Caenorhabditis elegans: one gene and its partners. The protein of the gene in region 4 interacts with the protein of the main gene of each other region in a pairwise test. Each region holds a gene or a part of one and is shown on either strand. Other genes may lie near its edges.

What was found.
Region 1: the proteins of hlh-2 (region 4) and hnd-1 interact in a two-hybrid assay, tested with the Caenorhabditis elegans proteins (2 studies listed by BioGRID).
Region 2: the proteins of hlh-2 (region 4) and hlh-15 interact in a two-hybrid assay, tested with the Caenorhabditis elegans proteins (2 studies listed by BioGRID).
Region 3: the proteins of hlh-2 (region 4) and hlh-14 interact in a two-hybrid assay, tested with the Caenorhabditis elegans proteins (2 studies listed by BioGRID).

The regions. Positions count from the first base shown.
Region 1 is NC_003284.9:11,682,622-11,686,475, forward strand, and holds hnd-1 (Hand transcription factor 1), read left to right. Parts: upstream 1-1,939; 5' UTR 1,940-2,105; coding exon 2,106-2,248; intron 2,249-2,305; coding exon 2,306-2,420; intron 2,421-2,554; coding exon 2,555-2,750; intron 2,751-2,797; coding exon 2,798-3,024; 3' UTR 3,025-3,167; downstream 3,168-3,854. UniProt on the Caenorhabditis elegans protein: Probable transcription factor which regulates early embryonic myogenesis, in cooperation with transcription factors unc-120 and hlh-1.
Region 2 is NC_003284.9:2,412,195-2,414,882, forward strand, and holds hlh-15 (Helix-loop-helix protein 15), read right to left. Parts: upstream 1,184-2,688; 5' UTR 1,095-1,183; coding exon 970-1,094; intron 920-969; coding exon 775-919; 3' UTR 759-774; downstream 1-758. Other genes in the region: trpp-12 (TRansport Protein Particle), read left to right, coding at 451-540; glr-7 (GLutamate Receptor family (AMPA)), read right to left, coding at 1,870-2,080, 2,573-2,688. UniProt on the Caenorhabditis elegans protein: Transcription factor which binds the E box motif 5'-CA[TC][AG]TG-3'. Involved in modulating physiological aging, probably by regulating expression of branched-chain amino acid transferase-1, bcat-1.
Region 3 is NC_003280.10:5,737,112-5,740,685, forward strand, and holds hlh-14 (Helix-loop-helix protein 14), read right to left. Parts: upstream 1,785-3,574; 5' UTR 1,691-1,784; coding exon 1,634-1,690; intron 1,536-1,633; coding exon 1,388-1,535; intron 1,067-1,387; coding exon 825-1,066; 3' UTR 674-824; downstream 1-673. UniProt on the Caenorhabditis elegans protein: Probable transcription factor, involved in determining neuroblast cell fate, morphogenesis and aspects of terminal differentiation in both left/right symmetric and asymmetric neuronal lineages.
Region 4 is NC_003279.8:7,190,030-7,195,795, forward strand, and holds hlh-2 (Helix-loop-helix protein hlh-2), read right to left. Parts: upstream 3,892-5,766; 5' UTR 3,879-3,891; coding exon 3,734-3,878; intron 3,384-3,733; coding exon 2,896-3,383; intron 2,057-2,895; coding exon 1,755-2,056; intron 1,643-1,754; coding exon 1,501-1,642; intron 1,334-1,500; coding exon 1,211-1,333; 3' UTR 759-1,210; downstream 1-758. Other genes in the region: plag-15 (PhosphoLipase A2 Group), read left to right, coding at 1-461. UniProt on the Caenorhabditis elegans protein: Transcription factor which binds the E box motif 5'-CA[TC][AG]TG-3'. Plays a key role in the anchor cell/ventral uterine precursor cell (AC/VU) decision; required for VU fate.

The DNA of each region.
Region 1 (3,854 bases), on a different chromosome or scaffold from region 4:
AATCGTATAAATATTCACCCTTACATGAGAACTATCATAAAATATCTCTAACTTTAGTGTTTTATTCATTGTCAAAAATATTTAACCACATCATTTTGATGTATTTTCCATTTTCTCATGTTTTTGCTCTCACAAGATTAGTTGAGCAAACAAACACATCCTTGTCGAGAGGTGTTCTGAGTCTCATGAACTAATAAATCCTCCTCACCGGATAGTATTACCTGACACATTGCCAGACGGTTGCGTTTTACAACTACAAACGTAAAGTTTATGAGAGTTCCTTGAGCCTGGAGTCTTGAGCAATTGGTTCCCCCTCTCAGTTTTTGCTATAATTCAAAAGCGACTCAAACAAGTATTTGAATGTTTATTGACTGCTGTTATTCCGCCGTTTAATGATCAATACTAGCGGCAAATTTACGACCTGGTTGTAAACTTGATACACTGTTTGAAGATTTCCCAGGAGTCGAAGCGGATTTCTTTCAGTCATCCTAACGGGGCTAGATTTGAATGCAATCAACAGGTGCCGAGTAGCATATGACGGTTTATATTGCACCGTACTTGAAGTAGCGCGCGATGAGAGGGAAAAGGTTGCGCTCGTTTTGACGGCAGAGTTACGCAAAATACCGACTGACTGGAATTTGAGGCAAAAAGTTGTGCTATGGAAATTGAGTAGTGTAAACTGATAAAACCTTGCATAAATGTGATTAGTTTATATTAGATGATTTACTCGGTGTAACCGTATGTGAAATGTGAAATTGAAAGGAAAAACTGTACATATAGGTTTTTTTCCCCCAAAAAACGTTTTTGAAACATTTTTAACACTGAATATATCTACTTTTACTTCAGGATTTAGAAAATAACATAACTATGCCTAAAATTCCAAATAAACCACGTTACATTTCAAAAACTGCAAAAACTTTTTGATGTGAACGAAACCCATAAGTACCAAACATTCCATACAGGAACACCTTTCAAACCAGACTTGGATGCCTTTCTAGGTAGTTTTCATGGATTTTTCTTAGTACTGTTTTTTTTTTGAAAAGATTGCATAAGAAATACTTAGTACATATATTCCAAATTCGTGGGAAATTTTTAAGATAGAGACACCTACACAGATTGATTTCCAGTTTCATTATAAGGCGTTTTCTCTACTTAGCAAGATGTCAGAAAACAATGCTTGCTTTTATCAAATATAAATGTAGATAAGCATTTTTTGAAATAATGGAACACAATCAACAAATATTCACAACTAAATCCCTTAATTTCTGTGCATCAATAATGCCAATGTCTCTACCGTATGATATCAATTGGCTCACTCTGTAATCTAAACAAAGTGTAATTGAGTCCGGCACGGGTTTGTCGGCATCTTTTCGAAGAGGGGTGATTGCGCGAAAGCCGTGCGTCGGGATGCCCAGACAGGGCGGCAAGCGGCTAGTTTTTGATGGCGGGGGATGGTCCGGATGGGAACTCGTATACCGAGAATTCATAAACATTTGTAGACTGTATCTGAACTGTGATTTACTGTGTTGATACTAGTGGATTCTTTAGAAAAGTATCTTAAACTCAAAAAAAAACTTTCTTATAGTCATATTAACTTATGTAGCAATAGTATTTGAATAAATTTTATGACGTCAGATAATAAGTTTCAATAAACATCGCAGCACTAATTGTAAGTGAATAATCCTGTTACTTTATTTGAGAATATAAAAATTATACTTATATTTTTGCCTCAAACTCTGATGCCATGCATATTTCACGGATAACCCATATTAAAAAGTCAAATATCGGAAGTCTATTTTTTTGAACATTTTTGGATAACCATGTACATATACACATCATCAATTTTACAACCCCTTGCCATTCCAGTTTTACAGCCTGTCTTTATACAAAAAATCTCCACCTCAACATAAGTATAATGTCAACAACAAAAACATATTCCAGGCCGGATAGTAGTCTACACAGATCCTCCCACCATCGTGAACCTTTCCTGCCCGCATCTATCCTCCCTTGCGGGGTCTGTCTTCTTGCTCCGCCCACCCGTACCCATCTTGCGTACCTCATTCCTCCGATTCAAGTCAGTGATATATCGCTAGCTCATCTACAAAATGGTCAAATCAACAACTGCTGGAAACAATGCGGTTTCTTCATTAGAATCCACTGATTCCAAGAAGTCAAGAAAGGAAAAGTCTCGCGAGAAGGAGCATCGTCGTGCTCAATGTATCAACTCGGCCTTTGAGATTCTTCAGCAGTAAGTTGTTAACATTTCTTTTCCCTAAACAAATAGCTAACTTAATCTTATTTTCAGACATATTCCATACCTCAAATCGGAAGAGAGAAAGTCGCTGCCAAAGATCAAAACGCTTCGTCTTGCCATGCAGTACATTGATCATTTGAAAAAATTGCTGGGAGGAAATGAGATGGTATGTCGAATCATAATGTTTGTAACTGTAGTAATACTTTTTCGTACCATCAGTCAAAATGATCGTGTTTTGAATTATCTACTGTTTCAAATATCAAATTTCTTCAAATTCCTAACTCTTGTACGTTTTTTCAGCTCGAAACCGATTGCAACGAATCTCGCCCACTCACTCACTCAGATTTCCGTGTCAATATCTCGAATGAGATTAGAATTCGGAACAGTTACCGAGAGAGAGCCCACAATCAGGAGTTGGATGAAGCAACTGTGAAGAGAATTTTGGCTCGCGAAGATCAACGCCGTCGCTGCAGCTCAGTTCCGGAGGGAATACAAAGTAAGATCATAAAAATAGAGACATGGAAAAACAATTGAAATTTTCAGGATATACTCCTTACCAGAGCCGTCAATTCGGACCGATTTCGAACAATGTGTGCAACTTTCGCCACGTAGATGCTAACCAATACAACACCAACTTCATGGAATATCAAACACAAATGGTCCAGGTCGCCAACTTCCCAAATCAGTTCTCGCATGAGTATTACAACTATGGCACATTCCCAGTTATTGATCCAACTTCATTGGAGAACAGTAATCCAATTTTGCAATAACATTGTCTCATGTTATGTTACTCACGGTTTCCTTAATTGATCTCTATATTTCGACACGTTATTTGATTGCTCAACATAATTGTAAAGTCCGTTTCCGGCCATAAACTTTGTTATATTCAATAAATTTGTTACCTAATAAACAGTGCTCTTGAACGAACAAAAATGTTTATGTAATAAGATATTGTGATCCCTGGTGGCCTCTAATCCTACTTATATGGTGCCATGTGAGCCGTAGATGTGGAGGGGAAGGAAGTTGTGGGGAACTTGAACGGACAAAGTTATTTGATACACAAAGGTTATGTCCAGAAAGTCAAGATAATCGGTATTAAACTCTAATTTTTTATTTAAAAAAGTAGTGTTAGAAATATCAATGCACAAAGTATCATATTTTCAATAAACTTTGAAAGTAAAACTACTTCAAAGATTGCAAATTCCTCCTATAATTGAAAAATCATGCGTAGAAAATTACACAGAACAAAAACTGTGGGCCCAAGTTAAAATATTTCCTCTGGATCGCTAGACGCTAAAATTTTGCGAACTGTGTCACAACGGACGAAGTGTCACAACGGACGAACCTTTTTTTACTGAGTGGAATGTGTGGTTATGTTTCTTTTATAGACTAAAACTAGCCCAAAACGATTGAATTTCTTGGTTAGACTTCGCAAAAAAATTCAAAAACTGTTGTATGACGGATAAAAATTTCAAAACAAAACATCAAGTTTTGCTTAAATCTGAAATTTCGTCAAGTTTTATTTGTCGCGAAAATGAACAAAATTGAATGCTTATTGGCTTGGAGGTTGTAACATCAACAAATTTAGTTGAGATAAAAA
Region 2 (2,688 bases), on a different chromosome or scaffold from region 4:
CTGGGTATTTCTGTAATTCTTGAAAAATATAATTTTCCAGTCAAAAAATATGCCAAGTCTAAATTTGTGAAATGCTGATTACAGTAATATTTTAATTTCAAATGTTCCAAATATTTTTCAGCATATTTCAGCATATTTTCAAATATTTTTGTGACGGTTTGAACTTGGGAATAAAGCCAAGGGCAAATTGTTTATAGTGCTAAAATGTCCAAATAGAATAGGAAAACATCTTTAAAAAACTGATATCTCAAAAATTGGAAGAAGAGATAATTGTCATAAATTATCTTTTTTTTTTCAAAACTTATTAATTAAGTTTATTAATAAAAAAACAAAAATCACGCACAAGAAACAATTTTTCTCTACATTTTGTGAATCATTAAAATGGAGGAGTGTCCCATAGCAATTGGGTGCACTGTATATGTCTGTGAAAAATCAAACTTCGGTTTATAGATTCTACCTGGCCCAACAACTACAAACCTGAGAACGATTGCTGAACTTTGCTACTCAACAGCGGCTAAAGATGAACTTCTGATCAGATGAACATGATCATGAAAAAGAAAAAGTCAAACATAAAAACAAGGTGGAGGTGCTTCTATTCCAAATTCTAGTCTGATCTGGAACTATATATATATATATATCGGTTGGCCACTGTGAAGGTTGTGAATTCAAATCACAACTGATCTGTATAAGCATAATTTATTTGCATGTTTTTTTTTGACTATACATTTGTTTAAATTTCAGTGTGTCAAAAATAAATGTTTAATGCCAATATATTTATTGAAGCAAGTTGTCTAGAAAACTTATGTAAGCAATTGAGAATCGTAGAATTTCAATTTTTGAAAGTTTCTTTTCAACGGGAAGAGTTGGCAGGAGAGCTCGCAGTTGGGAAAATGCCATATTGAATGATTCTACACGAATTCTGAAAACAAACTATTTTGAAAGTTACCAAGTTTTAGAATTTGAACCTACCTTTCTCGGGTCGCATGAAGATTTCGATATTTTGGAGTTGCACGTCTCCTCTTCCTTCGTTCGGCTTTTGAAAGTTTTCGGTATTCTTCAGACGTGGTGTCCAATCCTCCATCTTCCATGAGCATTGTCTTTGAATAGTGGAACACTTGCTGGAATAGAGGATAGGAAAACGAGTAACAGATTTACCGAGTATCTGCATATCCCGAAACAAAACAGAGGCGGCGCGCGATGAGCCCATTTTATTGCTCATAACACTAATTGAGTTGGTCCACGCCCATATGTGTCCCTTTTGCACGCTGGCCGCCACTAAAGGATTACCTTTTTCAAGTGTTTTATTAGTAAGACATTGTAATTGGACTTTATTGCACATACAGAAAAGATACTCGTAATAAAAGGACACTGGAAGAAAATAAAGATTTCGGAATTTTAGTTGTGGTTTAGCGCCAGTGGGTTTTTTTCTGAACTTTTATATTTTTTTAAAATTGCCTGTAAAAGGTTTGGCAAATTGCCAAATTAAAAAAAAAGAGCTTTTAATCCTTTAGAATGTTTTAACACAAACGATTAGAACAAAATAAAAGTATAAACATCGTCCAAAAAAGTTTTATTTTTATTTTTTAAATTACAAGTGGCAAACTGGATAATTGTTACTTTTTGTCAGTAAATTAAAACTTTCCAAGTTTTTTAAAAATTGTACTATGATATTTGGCTAGTTTTGCACCATAGAAGTAGTTTTAAACACTGTCCCCACTGGCGCTACTTCACATTTAAAAACTTAAAATCAGAATAAGTATAATGCTTCAAATACTTTTTTAGTGCAAGAAATCCCGTTGGAATCACACTGGGAATGTAAATATCGGTCAACGAATTGTAAATAAAAAATATCAATCAAAAGAATAGCTGCTAGTATTGGAAGGCTGTGTTCTCATAAGCTGAAACAGAATTTGATCGTTTCGTCCGTCGAAAGGTGTTTCCATTGGTTTTTGTGCCATTTGTAAGTTTAGGAGCATCTTGCTTAACACCATTTGTATGAAAACCATTTGGAACGACTTGTTGGGATTGTTTCATTTCAAGTTCTTCTTGCTCTTTTTCAGCGGCTTTTCTTGCTTTCCTTCTGAACAGTGGATTTTTAAATTAATGATAGCTTGGCATTTAGAGCAATCTTCTCGCTCAAATTAATGAAGGGTACTTGTGTAGTTAAATGGCCCAAACTAACAAGTTTTCAGTTCATTTCTTTTGAATTGATAATTTACTTGAAAAGTGAAATTGATTTGCATTTTTAGGCCTAGAGAAATTCCTAAAGTAAGCCTAACGTTGTCAAAAATGGTCACGTAAAATTTTTAACAAGGCTAACATTTTTGTGCCAGGTATGCTACGCATGTACCTAACTTTGATAGACACTTGGCAAAGACATGGTCAGACTTGATTCAGGCTGTGCCCACGTTTAGCTCAAGTTGAGCTAAGTCAACGACATAAAAAAAGTTCGGGGCAAAATTATACTTGAACACAGCCTGAGCCCAGTCTTGCCCAAAATTTTACCAACTTCGGGAGAAGAACCTTACTTTAAATGCCAAGATTCTATCTGAAAAAAGTATTCCAAACATACTTATAATAATAGTATTCAAATGCCAAAGTGACTATGGAAAGTGCAATGCCGGCTAGAATAACGATGAATACACCTCCAATGTTTTGAATCGAAATGCCATCACTTTCATCCGATGA
Region 3 (3,574 bases), on a different chromosome or scaffold from region 4:
TAGGCAACTTTTACAATTAGCTTAACTCGAAGCAAACAGTTGTATTTTTTGAGATCACCACATTTTTGATTGCTCTTCTACTTATATCCATAGAGCCCAAGTCACAACTTTGTTCTTTTTGCAGATATCAAAAAATAAACAACTAAAAATTGTAGAGGATGATTTGATACATGTCTTGTATGCCAATAATTTTTTAGTAAAGAGGATTCAGTAACTCAATTGATAAGTGATCAAGTGGCTCAGTTTCTGCAAAACTCTTCAACTTGAGGTCTTTCAAATTTTCAATACAGTACGACCTTTTCAGGTAATCTAGACAATTTTCAGATGTTTCTCAAAACGGACTGTCGCTTTCATTAGCATCAGTGTCACTCAATCTAATGAAAACACAAGTCACTCAGTCATTTATGCCCCTGTCTCTCTCCCTCCCTATTTCCACTCAATCCACATCATAAACCCTTCTTTTTTATTTCTTGTCTTCTTCATTTTCTTCTATTGTATTTTTCTGTTCATGACCCAGAAATGGTGCCAGCCGGGGGATTATTAATAAGGCTCGGCATGTGCCTCCCCACTGGGTTTCGTGGAAAGGGGTCCTAAGACGCCAAGGTTGTTTCTCGGATTTTAATAGGCTAATAGAAGAACGAGAAAGCGAGGCGATTGACACGGAATTAGCTAGTTTTAATGTGTAGGAATTGATTTATTGGCTATTGAGTTTTTTGGAAAAAAATCTAACAATTAATATTAAAAACAAAAACAGTATGGAGACCCGTAAATGCACCAGATCTTTGAATGATAAGAAGGGAATACTAAAATATCGATTTTCCAAATTAATGGTGTGGATAATTGGAATATGAAACTGGAGGATAACACATTTGAGTTGGTGAGTAAGAAGATGAGGAAACTGATGATGTTGGAGAATTGAAGTTATGGGAAACATCTCCATGAGGTACTGACATTTGATTTTGTGGGCAATAGTTTTGAGGCAAATACATCGAGAATTCTTCTTTTACGGCATAATTGTTGAAGTTGTTGCTGTTGTTCATCGTGTAGTCGGGAGTTGAAGAAGAAACTGAAAAAAATTAATTGAGAATTGTAAAATCAAATTTTAAATTTTGAGAATTAACTAAAATAGAAAATTGGAAGAATACTACTTGTGAGGAAAAAATTAAAGCAAACTTTTAATTATTCTAGATACAGCTCGTACAAAAATGCTAATTAAATTGCATATCGAATTTTACAGAATTACAGTCTAGAACAGTCTAGAACATAGAAGTACACATGATTGCTAGCTTTTAATTTGTTTTGCTTATTATGATGTTACACTACAATAATTATATTTTTGCTCTATATGTATTCAAAAATTCTTTTAGCACATGAAGACTTATCTTACCTGATGGTTGCTGTGGATCTTGATTGAGAAGAACCTGAAGTTGTTGAATATACTTGACAGCTTCACGAAGGGTGTCTGCTTTGCTCCATTTCTTGGTATGATTCTTTGGTTGAAGACGGTTGCGGAGCACGTCGAAACCATGGTTTACCTGGAAAATGTTTTATTTAAGAAATGTACATTGAGGGACAAAATAAGTTAGAAAAAAATTAGTACTCAAAAATATTGATTCAATATAAATGTACATACCTGATGAACTCGCTTGCGTTCTCTCTCATTTCTGGCAACTTGATTCTTCTTGGCCATTGCTTCCTTTTTTTGTTGGGCGGGAAAATAAAAAGAGAGAGGGAAGACGGTGGTGGCTAGGAGTGAGTGTGGGTGAACTGAATGAATAAGGCTAATGGTGAGAGGAAAGGCGGGACGGGACAATCTGATGGGCGGGACTAGGAGGGTGGATATTGGCACAAACCGTATTGGCACCAAATTATAGAGGGAGGAGTTGAAGAGTTCGAGGTCAAAGGATTGGGAGGAGGTACAAATCTGGAAAATCTGAAAATCTGAGCTCAGACCCATATTCTCAAATTAAAATGTAACAAAAAAGTTTTATAAATTTAGACCCTGTAAATCAACTTTTGAAGAGTTAAAAGTTACAAAAACTTCTACCGATCCAAAATGTGGGAGGTATGACCAGTGCTTGTACGAGCACATATGAGATCCCTCTCTAAAACTTAAAAAAATCTTGTTTTTCTGATTGGCATTTCATGCTATCATTTTAGAAGTTTTCGTGAGGTGGCCAATTAAATAATTTTTCTTGTAACTCCAGATTTTTTTGTAGTTACCGTACTTTCACCCAATCTGGCTCTTTCAAATAATTTCGCACCAATACGGACCAATTGAAATATTGCCCTGACTTATAAATGCTCAACGCTCAAACGAATTGTTAAAGATTATTTTGAACTCTATAAAACGCCAAGTTGCCACCAAAGATGTACATTTCAAAATTCGGAAATTAGATTTGTATTCCAGAAAGATAAAGACAATTCGTTGTCGTTGAAAAAATATTTGAAATTGGTGAAAATCCAAATTATATCATAACGAACGAGAATTACAGTTAGGAATATAAAAGTTTGAAAACTATAATTTTTAGTTTGAATATTTTTAGTAAATTTAGTTCTACACATACCGTATTCGCACTATTAGTGTCAAAATGTCAAAATATTTATTAAGATATATTCATACCTCTTACCTTACAGCTGTGAGAGTTCAAGAAAATAACAATTAAAGATTCTAGCATCATCCCCCCATTTTTAAGATTTCCATATCTAACAATTCTTGAAAAATTCAAAACACGACCATCAAATTAAATATATTCTCTCCTGCAAAAATCCAGTGACAAGGTCGATCATTTTTGGGTCACTCACTCCTTGAAACTGTTTGGTTTGTTGATTGATCAGTCTTTCTTCCTCTTTCTTTTCTTTTCAATTTATCCTAGATTATTCAAAAAGAAGGACATACACTGTGATAGTCTAACCATATAAAGTATATAGTTATAAACTTTTCAGTAGTCTAACCTTGACTGGTACTTAGCTAACTTAATAGACATGAAAAGATGGGCAAAGTGTGCGCCTCACTGACCGCGAAGTTACATAATCCGTGGCGGAAGGTTCAAAAACAGAGAATTGAGAAAGAATACATAAAAAATGAAGTCGGAAGACTCTTGGCGGCGCTCTTTTTGTTCAGAATTATAGAGTTGAGGTTGAAGTTTGATTAATTAAATGTTTTTTTGGAAAAAAGGTTTCCAAAAGTAAGCTGACCTTCATTTCAGGAAGACTTTTGAAAAAGTCTTACTCATCATTCCATCAATCTGTTTCTATTTCCTTACCACCCTGAGAGATCACCAAAAAAGTTGTATGGCGGGAGAAATAAGCGAACAATATGTTTCCGCCAAAAGATACGCCGCCATGAAGGAAAGTGATTTAGAATAGTTTTTTGCGGTCAGTTTACCTTGAAAGAAAAAACTGTTGGAATGTGGGTATCGAGATGTAGGTGAAACTTTAATTCAATGTGGGTGAAACTTTAATTCGGGGAAATTGAAGATTCTACGGTCTTTGGTACAAAAAAATTGAAGGAAACTCCACAATATGCTATTTTCAAGCAGGTCCAAAAATGCCTGCCTGGCTTTTAGACAAT
Region 4 (5,766 bases):
CCTCTTCGGCCTTTCTGTTTCCAAGTCCAGTTGCATGGAAACCACATGAAATATTAGCGACAACTGCTGACAAAAACTACACTGTTGGAAATATTAAAGAATTCTTTCAAGACATTAATTACATGGTTGGATGGGAACAATACAAACAGGCCGCCCGTCTGAATGGAAATTTAAGTTCTCCAGGAGTTCCAGTTCATTGTATTTATGGAACAGGAGTCCCCACACCGGAAAAGTTTTCATGGGCTCCCGGATACTTTCCAGATTATCCACCAACTGAATTCATGGGTGATGGAGACGGGACAGTGAACAAAAAATCAGCTACAGTGTGCACTAATTGGATTGGAAATAATAATGGTTATAAGGTTACTGTACACGAAGTATTTCAAGCTGATCACATGGCAATTCTTAAACATCCAAATGCAATTGAACTTGTCCGAAAAGCCATTTTCCAGTTAATTTGAGTGATGCAAAAAGGGTTCTGAATTTTAAAATTTTGTTTGTTTTGATCAAGGTGAATGAATTATGTTTGTATCACATTTTTTCCCGTTGTTGACATTTTATACATCCAATATTCCTATACATCAGTTTTGACAGACCATGAAAAAAACATCTCGTTTCAACGACTTAGAAAGTCAAACTAAATGTCTAATTATAAATGGGAATCCCTTTCAACATAAAGTGGAATCCATACTGCGAAGGACATTAGCACTTCATCGGAGCTTGGATAATTAAAGTGTTGAAACAGTTACCCAATAGAGTAATTCATGTGTGAAATTAGTTGGCGGTGTCTTTTTTTTTGAGTGGACCATTTCATTTCAAGTAGATACTAATTAGCTATGGTTTATCACATACACACACACAAAAAATAAGACAAGTTGGAAGAAGTTGATTGAATGAATGAATAATATGAAAGTTAATTTTAATACTTGAAATATTAGAATTAGCTATTGATTGATTTAAATTTAGAGGAGAAAATAAATTAAAAACATACAGAAAATTGTGATGATCTTGTAATAAAGTTTAAAATTTTTAAAACTGAAAACTGATTGAAGTTGAGAAATCACAGGACCTCCAATCCGGAGGGAGATGAAGGGGAACATTTGAATAGTTTGAACAAAAAAACAATATGCTAGAGAGTTTTAGCCGTATGGATGATTGGGAGAAGATTGGGAATGATAGTTTGAAATGCTTAAAAAGTCAATTTTTAAATTTAAAACCGTGGATGTCCAAACTGCGCGGATGGTGCATTGTCATCAAGCATCTTCATTTTATCATCATCAGGTTTCCTTTTCATTCCAGCCATCACTTTTGGATTCATATTTCGTTGACGAACCTGTAAAATTATAAATTTCAACTTGTTCAGTGTTTTGTTTAAATTTTTCGAATAAATTCCATCGCAATGTTATGTGCTTCAAAGTCAAAAATACAGCAGTCGAACAATTGCCAATTAATTTTGTTCACAATTTGAATGTTTCTTTAAAATATGAAAAATTATCTAACCTGTTCTTCCAATTGTGTAATCACAGATACTGCATTGTGTAGAATTCCCAATTTTGTTTGATTCCGTTCTGTATTCTGATTGTGCTGTGTGCACATTCGTCCGAGCTCTTTGAATGCCGAATTGATGTCACGAACTCGTACTCTGTAAGTTTTTTGTATTAGATTAGATTTGGAGATATCTCGATTAAATTACTATGTAATTGTCAATTTCCAATGTTCAATTCAAAACGTCTTAAAAGTAAAAAACTCCTCACCTTTCTCGAGCATTATTCTGTGATCTCCTATCCGTATCTTTGTCATCACTCATTGATTCATTATCAGAAAGCCTTGAAGACGATGAATGGCGAGTTGGAATTCCAGAAGATGGAGGGCCTTGTACCCGACGACGGCTCGTTGCTCTTGATGCAGACTTATCATTTCGAACAGATGATGCACTTGATCCTGGTGGCATTCCGGTCATTCCTGGATATCCATTTGGATCAAAGTGTGGGCTCATACCGGCTGGTGGGAATTGATGATTGTAGTCAACCAAGTTGGTATCTCCACCAAGACCATTCTGCAATATTTCATTGTTTTTGGTTTTATAATTTCTATAACCCTCATCTAAAACTACTCAACTTTTTCTCTCAATGAAACAAAACAAAGAATTAATTTCATTTGCCTTGCTAGTCAGTTAATTCTCTCAAATGGTACTATTGGGGGCCGAGTCAAATCAATCGATCTCTTTAATGTACTGAACCCCGCAATGTGACCGTCTCTGTTCACCACTTAATCATGCGGCGACGTCGGTCAATAGCCCCCTTCGGTTTTCGAGGACACCATCAGAAAATGTGACCGGCTATTGGGTAACAATGCAAAAAGCAAGAGCTTCAAATTTTGGCCAATTTAGTTATTCACTAGTCAGAGGTTGGATACAGGGATTTTACCATATTATTCTAGATTTCTCAAGACTGGAACGCAAAAAAATGTCATCAGGGTCTCAAAACTTTGTTCACGACAACAGTAGTTCAGAATCTTAATGTTTAGTATTGTCATATGGCAAAAATTATTTTAAAGAAAACTGAAAGAATCTCAAAAATTTCCTCCAACAAAAAAAGCGATAAACTTTGCCTAATTATGTAACTAATCCATCTTTTCTGTATGTTTCTCCTTGTTTTATGTTTACATTAGTGACTTTTTTGGAGGTCGTTTAGTGCGCACAGGGTGTTCTTCTCAAGAAGATGCCGCCTTTTGCATGCATCTCAATCTTCAGAAGGCGGCGGCTCACATCAAAAGGAAGCGGATTATGCATACGTGAATGCTTGGCGGCTGAGGAGGGCCAAGCAATCATTCGTCGAGATTAACTTGTGGTAAAACAGTAAAACACGAATAAAACCAAGAAGAATAGAAACGTACCGGCTGTCCAGCAAGTTGCTGCTGATACGATGAGAAGTCGGCAACTGATGGATCAGCACCAAATGTATATGTTGGAGGGATTGAGATGTATGGATTAACAGCTTCACTTGCTTTGTTATCTTCTGAAGGTGGAAGGTAACCTGGATATGTTTGTGGCCATGTATACATTGATGACATTGCGTCAATTGGTGCGGTAAGATTAGTAAGAGGCTGTGGAGCAACAATCGCTGATGTTTCTGCAGAATTCGTGGCTGGAGCTGTTGTTGGCTTTAACTCAAGCACATCAGTAGTTGAAGTTGGAGCTGGAGCAGTAGATGGAGCCGTCGTTGAAGTGGATGATGTTGCATGAATTGGCTTAATATCAGATGTTGCAGAAGTTGGAGCAGCTACGGAAGCAGGGGTTTCAGTTGGTGGATGTGTTGGAAGGAAGGCTGATGAATAATCAATATCCGTTGTTTGCATCGGAGGATACGGGTTGAGATGGTATCCTGAAAATGTTTATTTAGATGACTTGCACTTGAGAAATGAGATATAAACATTTTGGTTAATAAACTACTTACTAGAGCAAACCAGATTTTTACAAAATTTTAGAACATTAAAAGAGTTATACATTTTGTTTCAACTTAAAGTAAATTTTAAAAATTTGCGAGCTTATAAAATCAACAATTCAACAATTCGAGATAAGTAATACCAAACTTATATCCTTTTTCTGCAATTTATCCAATATTTCTAACTGATTACAAGCGACTTTTAACAAATTCACGAAAACATGTTTGGTTTGGTTTACCAAATGATATAATTGAAATTATAATAGATTTCAAATGAAAAAAAGACTAACCACTCCAATAATCAGGCATCTGAATCGTTGTCGGATCAATATTATAAGGATAATCATATGCATTTGGAAGCATAACCTGTGGTTGAGCAATGGCGGCAGTTGCAACAGTTGTGGCTGACGTAAGTTGGCTATTTGGATCCGCCATTGAGGTTCTGAAAACTTTATTTCTGCGAAATGATATGAAAGACGATTATAGTAGTAATGTCAAAGAAATAAAGTCAGCGGAGAAGCGGGGAGAGGAAAGGGAATAAGTAGGGAATTGGGCTGGAGCAGCAGGTGAAAAAATTAGGTTAGTAAATATATTCTGATTAGATTTTCGTCAAGACAACCCCATTTGAAGAAATATTGAGAATAAGAAAAAGAAGAAAATAATCGATTCTCCTCGTTTGGTTAAATAGGCAAACGAGATCAAAAGAGGCAAGGTAGATCAATAAAGAATAATAATTGTGACGTCACAATAGATCTACTAAGTTCCGGTATAAATTATTAGGAGCAAGTTACTTGAAGGAGAACAATTTGTAGGGAGGTAATGATGTTGAGATGGTATCAAGAAATAGTTGTAAATGTAGATGTCATTGTAGATGATTATCGGATGGATGACATCCCGAAAGAGCAATAAAATAACAGTAAAGGGGTGATGGATCAAAGGGTTTCAGGCCCATCTAAATAATTAGTTTAAATTCAGACGTAGGATAAGATATATATGAAAGCTTTAAACGTGAGCTAGTAACATTTCGGATGCAAATATACATTTTTTGATAAACTCAATAATTGAAAAAAAAACTGCCCTACAATACATTTGCGTTCTTGTTTAAATTCAAAATTGGTAAGGATTCGTAAACATTGTAGGAGTGAGAAAAAGTAATGCAGATCAAAATTATTTGGTAAAAGATCCAAAATTGAAAATTGGGAGGAGAGAAATTTTAATTTTCAAAATCAGAAGATGGGATACATTATGTATTTCATTCAAAATATGTGCTATGTTTTATTACAGTAAGATCATGAACTTGAAAAGCTAGTAAACGGAACAGATTTAGACACAAAAAAAGACGAAAAGAGTGCACTCCCCCCTTCTTAGCGGCTATGCGGGTGGCTAGGAATGGTTCTTCGAGGGTGGTGGTAGTGGAGGGACGCGTATAAAAGCCCATTCAAGGGACATAAACAGTATATTGGTGTACATAGACGCAGACATTCTTTCTCCCGGGGACCGTCTACATCCAAGAGACGCAGAGACGATGATCGGGAGAGGTCACGCCCACAACCATCTCTCTCTACCTCCTGCAGCACACAATCCTCTATTATCCCGGGGTCCTCCATCTCTTCTCCCACCATTCATTCACCAGTCTTTTTTGGGTGAAATGAGAGGAAAATGGGGGAAGGATTGAATGAATAAGGGGATTGAATGAATAGAAGAGGTCAGCTCTCTTGGGGGAAAATGTCGCCACCCGACTGTAGGGAGTACATTCATTTTTGAAGCATGTTATTAGAGTTTTGTAGGGATCTCTGAAATTTTAATTCTTCAGAATATGGTAAGAGTGAGAGAAAGAGTGTGCACAGGAAAGGGGTATATTTTATTAGAATAAAGTTACTCATATTCACAACAGAAGTTTCAGCAATCACAATACTGTGGGACTACTCGAGTCTTCAAATATCTTGAGCCATATCCTAAAATTGTCTCTCTGTGGTAATAAACCAACAATTATAAAAAGAAATGATACTTCCAATGCCCGTCTCTAAAGTGCATTTTTTGACAGATGTTGTCAAAAGTATACGGTACTGGAACTTTTTTCTCGAGAGTATTTGGGGAGGTGTCTATTGTGGGACGGAGTGCAGCTGTCATCAAATTCAAGTGCTCAATGGTTTGGTTAGAAAAAGTTAGAAATACGGTAATAATGACGAATTTGTTCTACAAATATGATTAACTAAATGGTGATACTTATTTGAGAATGTTGAAAAAGGGATGCAAGTAAAGATAGGTCTCAATCAGATTTCAATCATTTTAGAAGATTTATCTGATCATTGACAGATCAAAT